2 linked regions of the Saccharomyces cerevisiae S288C genome follow. The gene in region 2 interacts genetically with the main gene of each other region. Each region holds a gene or a part of one and is shown on either strand. Other genes may lie near its edges. The genes, in order: HRT3 and PUS9.

What was found.
Region 1: mutations in PUS9 (region 2) and HRT3 together harm fitness more than expected from each alone (negative genetic interaction), as found in Saccharomyces cerevisiae (one large-scale study listed by BioGRID).

Annotation. Positions count from the first base shown.
Region 1 is NC_001144.5:335,475-339,335, forward strand, and holds HRT3 (SCF ubiquitin ligase complex subunit HRT3), read right to left. Parts: upstream 1,792-3,861; coding exon 757-1,791; downstream 1-756. Other genes in the region: serine/threonine protein kinase KIN2, read left to right, coding at 1-559; CHA4 (Cha4p), read right to left, coding at 2,053-3,861. UniProt on the Saccharomyces cerevisiae protein: Substrate recognition component of a SCF (SKP1-CUL1-F-box protein) E3 ubiquitin-protein ligase complex which mediates the ubiquitination and subsequent proteasomal degradation of target proteins. Probably recognizes and binds to phosphorylated target proteins.
Region 2 is NC_001136.10:386,862-390,612, forward strand, and holds PUS9 (pseudouridine synthase PUS9), read right to left. Parts: upstream 2,041-3,751; coding exon 652-2,040; downstream 1-651. Other genes in the region: GPR1 (Gpr1p), read right to left, coding at 2,311-3,751. UniProt on the Saccharomyces cerevisiae protein: Responsible for synthesis of pseudouridine from uracil-32 in mitochondrial transfer RNAs.

The sequences.
Region 1 (3,861 bases), on a different chromosome or scaffold from region 2:
ACAAAGGCCATCTATTGAGACTGCAGCTGTCCCTGTTATAACCACTACTGGCGTGGGTTTGGATTCCGGAAAGGCGATGGATCTGCAAAATAGTTTAGACAGTCAATTATCATCCAGTTACCATAGTACAGCGTCCTCAGCATCAAGAAATAGTTCGATAAAACGCCAAGGTTCTTATAAGAGGGGCCAGAATAATATACCACTAACACCTTTAGCGACCAATACACATCAAAGAAATTCATCTATCCCAATGTCTCCAAACTACGGAAACCAAAGTAATGGTACATCAGGGGAACTATCTTCCATGTCATTAGATTATGTTCAACAACAGGATGATATTTTAACAACATCAAGAGCCCAAAATATAAATAACGTAAATGGTCAAACAGAGCAAACCAATACTTCTGGTATAAAAGAAAGGCCTCCTATTAAATTTGAGATTCACATTGTAAAGGTTCGTATCGTCGGCCTAGCAGGTGTACATTTCAAAAAGGTTTCTGGTAATACGTGGCTATATAAAGAATTGGCATCGTATATTTTAAAAGAATTAAACCTATAGATACGTTGTTCTTACTAAATATTTCAACGTGTGTCTTTCAATTTTTATTATCTAATATTTATCTTTTTTTAATATTATAGTATAATTTATTTAAGCTGAGATCTGCTTTCTTTAATCTTTCATATGATGAAATAATAGTTCTACATAAATCTATAAGAATAATAAATAAAGTAAAACAACTGCAAAAAACATCGATGTCATCCAGGATCCTTGAAAGATTTCACTCTGGAGAAGAAAAAAGATTTCTCATTTCTCAACGAACAGTTAGATGCATTCCCTTCCTTATCCACTACAATTGAACTTAGCCATTTCAACCGTTGATATCTCTTATTGCCTTGATTCTTGATTTGGAATTCTTCGATAAACGTATACTTTTCATCTGACCTTGTTATCTTTAAATGACCAAAATCATAATCAAATCCGAGGCTCCAATAACACATATGACTATGCCTGGGTTTGTTCTCTTTGGAGAAGTGCTTCACGACAGCGCTAGGTTCATCTGTAGAAAGTAATCTCAAACATTGGCCGTTCTCATAAAATCTGAAATACCTGTAATAGGTGATCATGTGAACTGGCTTTAAAAGAGATAACGAACTTTCTGCATTGGAACCGTATCTTACATAATTTACTACACTGATGTAAACACCTTCGAATTTAATATATGGCCTTTCCCTTAACATACGATAATCATCACCCCGCCATATTTCCTTTTCAAAGGTATTTATATCGGTGATTCCGTTAAGATCCATTGCCATTTTGTCGTATATTTGCTTAGAATATATGTACTTCGCGAAAGTTTTAAATGGCACAGAATCGTGGAAGCAAAGCTTGCTAAAGGTGGAACAAGTCATCGACAAATTCACCCAAGATTCACCAGACATTAATATAACTTTTTTAATAATTCTCAGTAAAATGTCGTCAGGCAAGATTTCCAGAATCCAGCAGGGTTGAAGTTCAGCATTTTCTTCAACAGATAAGTCATCTTTACCGGTTTCATTTTGTTCATCTGGAGCATCAGTAGTCATTGATAATCCCGATAGTTTTTTGTGCAGCATCCACTCATCAAGTATTTTTTTTCTGTACAGTGATTCCACATTATCATGGATTTTCAATGCACTTCGATAGAAGTTTATAGCATCTGACATTGACCCATCCTTCTCTTTCAGTACACCTTTTTCCCAAATAGCAATAGCCTCTTTAGCCCTAGGGTCCTTTTCATAATCTACTATCATTTGCTCCTTGAGTTTAGCTTATGGAACACATGTGTCGTCGCCAAAGATGATGGGGAATGTTTGCTTTTATCTTGCTCAGTCGATTTCGCTATCTAGGAACTACAATCCTTTTTTTTGTCATTTGGAAGGCTCTTTAAAATTCCGAATCGATAAGTTCGGAGGTGGGAAAGGATAGCGGTATATTCCTTCCCAAATAAAAAGGCTACAAACACATTACATAAAGAATATTTGTTCAAGTAAACATATCCTCTTCACTCAAGATTACTTCGACAAACCATCATTGGTGTTTCCACCAATCAGCATATCAATCTCATTCAATAAAGTAAAGTCAAAATTGTACTCTAAGGCAAAATCGTTACCGTGAGATAGAGTCCCTAATAAATCCATAGTTTCTGAATTATGCAAAGCATCTTCAGAGTTTTCTATGAATTTTCTAGCAAGTTCGTAATTCAGGGTAGGCGCACTTAAAAAATTTAAGAAGTCTTGTTTTCTATCCTTTTTAATCAAGTTGGACTTCATGCATTGGATGGCTAAAATCGCAGAATAAATCATGTAAATTGTGGCCTTCTCAAACGTCTTAAATTTATTTTTCCAAACTTTTAAAAGATAATACAGTTCATCAACATAACCTTCAACCAATTCCCGGCTTTGTTTGATTTCGTATATGAAAGGTTTATTATAGGAAATTAGCACGATATAGTAATGAAACCATACGTAAGCTATGGTTGGGTTAAAATCTGTCATTTCCATCAATGACCTCTTGGTCCATTGTAGTTCAGGGGGCAAATCCCTTCTCCAATTGTATACCTCCAGATTAAATTTGGCCAAGTATTCACTCCTTTGAAGTAGAGTTTCGTTTGGGCTGAAAATCTTGGATGCAAAAATCTCCGTTATTCTCGATAACACAATCAGTTTCTTCAAGGGGTTTGCAGTGGACAATATTACTTTTGGGTCATATATGTACTCCTCTATACCAGTCTCAATTTCAGGTAGCTCGTCTGTTTCTGGAACAGTGGAATTGGACAAACGCAAGGAAGTTGATCTTCCAAAGAGGATCGCTATTAAATGATCAGCAATGTAGCAGCCCCAATAAATTCTACTTCTCACTTCAAAATCCATTATTGACAGCTCGTCTTCATAAACATTACTCCATGCTTCTGGATTCAAATGTAGGCCGATTTCGTGGGCAATCCTAAATGCCAGCCCAGAAAGATACCAAGCCATGGGGTTTTCTCCGCTTCCAATGTCATAAAATGCCAAACACAATAGAGTCTGGATGATTGCTAATTTCGAAGAGGACGACGATTCAGCTAACGAAGAATCTTCCAGTTGAAAAATTTTTTTGAGTACTATCGTCTTGGCTCTTTGATAAAACACTTCAGATTGTTGAAAAAGCTCAGTTTCTGATTTGTATGAAATCAAAGATCCCAATGCAGCGATTGCAAATACCAATTCTTCGGAACAATAGTAACTTTTAGTGTTAGTATCACCGAAGAAAGCACTTAAGAAAGTTTCTCTATGAATGAAAAGGTAATGTCCCGGGTATAGCCATTTGAAAAAGAGTGACAACGATCTTAAGATAAGGGGACTTCTTGATAAATTTTTTAGGCTGACCTGCTGTTGCTGATATCTTGTGCTTCCATCCGTCTTCTTTTTTATTATAGACAAGGAATTTGATGGATATATACTATTTGTGCCAACTGGTGGAGGGCTCTCGGAAGGCATTTTCTTGGTGAACGCATCAGACTCATTCTCATCGTTGCTTTCAGATGATGGTAGTGCTGATTGTGCTGTTTCGCCATACTTTAAGATTTTTTCATTAGGAGCATCACCATGATCACTGTTGTTTTTTAACGAGGAGAGAGCATTGCTAGCAATTGTGGAAGACGAGGAACTTAATATTTGCAACTGTTCTTTCAAAGACCGAATCTGGCTCTGTAAAGCTTCTACGTAAGTCGTAGAATATCTTTTGTTCCTTAAGTCTTGTTGAGTGAATACACATTCGGTACGAAACTTGATACAGTTTGAACAAGGCTTTTCCATGTTACATTTCCTTCTTCTTCTACGGCA
Region 2 (3,751 bases):
CTTTTAAGCCATGCTTTCAGGCAAAAATTAAGATTTCTTCGTAAAGATCGGAGCCTTACGCCCAAGAAGCAACTGGCCGTAAAATTTTTTCTTCGATCGGGTGGCAAATGGAACAGAAGATCATGAGTAGAAGGAAAAGTAAACAAAGAATTGCGTCGGTCAACCGGTTGTTGCTGCGTGCTTCAGCGGGTGATAAATAAAAGATTTCCTATCTGAGTAATCGATGACACAAGCGGTCTGCGCTCGGTCGCTTCCAAGCCTTAACAAAGTTTTTACTTTATGGTTTTTAATAAATAAATAAAAAGAAACGTGGATTTGGATAGCAGAAAGCCTCGAAGATCATTTTATCAATGAAATTTTATGGTTAACACTTTCAAGACTCCGATTTTCTCTGCTACGTGAAATTTTAGGTTGCGAAAAGAATACTACCGGGAATACTAGGAGTGTGGAAGAAAAGAAATGGAAAAGAAAAGGAGAAGTGGTCATTCTTCACATCTCATTGTCTTCCTCCTGTAAAGATTTTAGCTTTTTTATAAATTAAGATTAAGATTGTAGCGTGATGTTCTGTTACTGTCATTTTTGATTGGCCAATGACTGATTATAACAGAAGACCAGTTTTCTATGTATTATTGTCCGACAAGTCAGGAACCTCTATCTTCTCAGAGCCCATTCTGGATACTCTGTTTTGTAGCACCACTTTTTCTTTTCGGTTCCTTCTTCAGTCTCAGTTGATTCGTATAGATAGGCATGTAACCACAGATCAAGATCATTGGGGCCAGGATCAGTATACAAATCAGATTCACAAATAGAACATTTTTCTTGCCTTAATACCTCACCGTACCCGCCATTACTATGGAACCAACTTTTAGCAGGTTTTCTTTTCCCTATTTCGTCTAGCTTAGTAATAACTATATCGAAGTCAGCCTGGCCGCCTTTTCCGAGATTGTTACCCCATACTTCATCATTGGAATAAATAGGATCGTTAGCAATTGGGTGGCCTAAGTACTGTAAATGTACTCTAATTTGATGTGATCGCCCGGTAAGCGGTTTGCACTTTACAATACTCGTTTTACCGTCGTAGCTGATTCTGTTAAAAACAGTTTTTGCATGTTTGGCTCCTTTCTCGTCCATTTGACAAACTGCATTAAGAGCAAGCCTTGGCTCGATCAGTTTTAGAGGTTTTTCAACAATTACTTCCGTTTCTGGAAATTCTCCAACTACCTTGGCCACGTATTCCTTAGTGACTTCTCGAGCTTTTAGTTGATCGCCGATATTATCGGCTCCCTTCGGAGTTTTTGCCAAAAACATTAATCCACTTGTAAGCCTATCTAACCTATTACATGGGTTCACAACAAATCCGAGATTATTTTGAAGCATTTTCGTAATTGTATTGAACCGATATCGGCCAGTTGGGTGAACAGGTATACCGCTCGGTTTATCAATAACCATTATGTTATCATCTTCAAAAATAACTTTGATAGGCCTGGAAGTGACTGGAGGTTCATGTCTATGTACCTGATGCGTAATCAGGTCACCATTGCGAATTACAGTAGATAAGTCCGCAGTTTCATCGTTTATATGAACGTCCCCGTTTTCGATTGTTCTTTTATAATATTCAGATTCACGATCTCGAAATTCAGATATAAAGACATCAACCAATTTTTTATCTCTCCAACGCTCTTTGCAAAAGGTCCTGTACGTAAAATGGTAGGGCTTGATTTTCCTTAGAGGGCCATCGATGACAATTTCATACTCTGGATCTAGTTGTCTATGTTTCTCTTTTTTGCTGCCTATCGTTCGTGATTGAAAAGTAGATTTATTAATCAAATCTGGCGATTTTTTTGATTGAGTTCGCTTTATTTTTTTTTTCTTTTGAATTTCCCTCTCTCTTTCAACCTCATTTTGCAAATGTTCATCAAACTCATTTGAGGTTGCATTACCTGCAAAAGCAAGACCTGCAGATAATGCATTCCTTTTGAGTTGTCGAGCCATTATTACTGGCACTGTAAACAAATTTCTTAACCTATTATTTCTTTGCATAAGTTTCCTATTCCATTATACGAGCACTCATCCATTTTCAAAAGTTTTTTATGAACTTTTTCTTAACTCGGTCTTTTGTTCTCTAATGGTTCGCCGCCAGACAGAAAAAAAGCTTACTTATCGAGGAATCACATTGCTTCAATGAATAAATTCTATAATGCATATACTACCTAACATATATAAGAGAAGTGAGCGTCATTCATGTCGGCTACTTGTCAATTTGTATTACGTTCCTTACTTTCCATTTTCAAACATCGCGATACAAAAACTTTATAATGGTCCATTTCTTAAGAAGGCTATCAAATCTATGCCGCTACTATCACTACTATCATTATCGTTCTGCGCCTCAATTATTGGATCAGGAGTCGTACCTGGTATTGTGGGCTTGACCAGATAATTTTCAGATGCACTAGCATCTGAATAGCGTAAATTCTTATCCTCTTCAATGCTATTCTCATCATCGTTTGTGACAATATTGCTTGAAAAGAAGCTGGATTTGACCATACTGTTAGTTGAGACGTCCTGATGTTTATCGTGACTTTTATTTTGGTTTAATGCAAATTTCAACCCGGGTAGAGAAAAATGGTCGTTATTGTACCGTATTTTCAACAATCTGTTTAACTCATCAAGATCTATTCCGCCAAGCATTGGAATATGATGAATGATCCTCCAAAACAAGGGCACTTCAACCTCTTCGGCCGTGATGTTATTAAGCATTGCCTGTAGTTCAAGTGAATTTGATGGAAGGGAGCGATCGCTACTATTCGTTTTAGTCTCATCAGATTCTGTGCGTTTATTATCGTTTGAATCTTTGGCTGAATAGTAGTTTTCCCAGTATTCAAAATCGTCACAATTGTCATAAAAACTAAAGTGTAGTTTTAGTTCAAACAATTGTTTAAAGAAGCGTTCAACAAACCACAGTATACGCTTCAGAGGGTTTGTAGAATATTTCCAGCATTTTCTTTTCTTCCACTTACCACGATAATACCAACCTCTTTTCCCCCAATTGCTGTGACAAAACTTCAGAATTTCCTTTTCACCAAGCTCTCCTTTCAGAATATATTTTTCAATGAGATATTTTGATTCTGTTTTTGCCCATGAATAGTTCCAAGGTTTTTCCTTGAACAGGTAAACAATGACGTCGACGAGACAACTTAATGGTCGAACGCAAGTGTCAATGTATGTCACCCACATGGTAGGCCCATGCTTTATTTCATGATTGTATTGCAACGCATCTGCAATGATGGGGAAAAGCCATATCCCAATATACGACAGTGGATAAATGAATATTGCCCTTAGATTCTTTTGAATTTGTGCCCTACGTTTTTTCATTTGTTTGTAGGTTTGGGCTTGGAAATGCTGTTGTACGTTGGTGAAACTTGAATTTTCGCATCTGTCTGCATTATTATTCACTCTCTCCTGTGAAAATTGTTGAGACGGAGTAAATGCTTCATTAGAAAGTGTAGGAATATTATCGGCTGGATTAGTATTATTGTTATCAACGTTATTTTTAATATTATTACTATTATTATTATTATTGTTGTTGTTGTTGTTATTGTTATTATTATTGTTATTATTATTATTGTTATTATTATTATTGTTATTATTATTATTGCTATTATTGTTATCGTTATCGTTATCGTTATTGTTGTTGTTGTCGTCGTCGTCGTTGTTACTGTTGTTGTTGATGATGCCTCCTTTTTCCTTAATG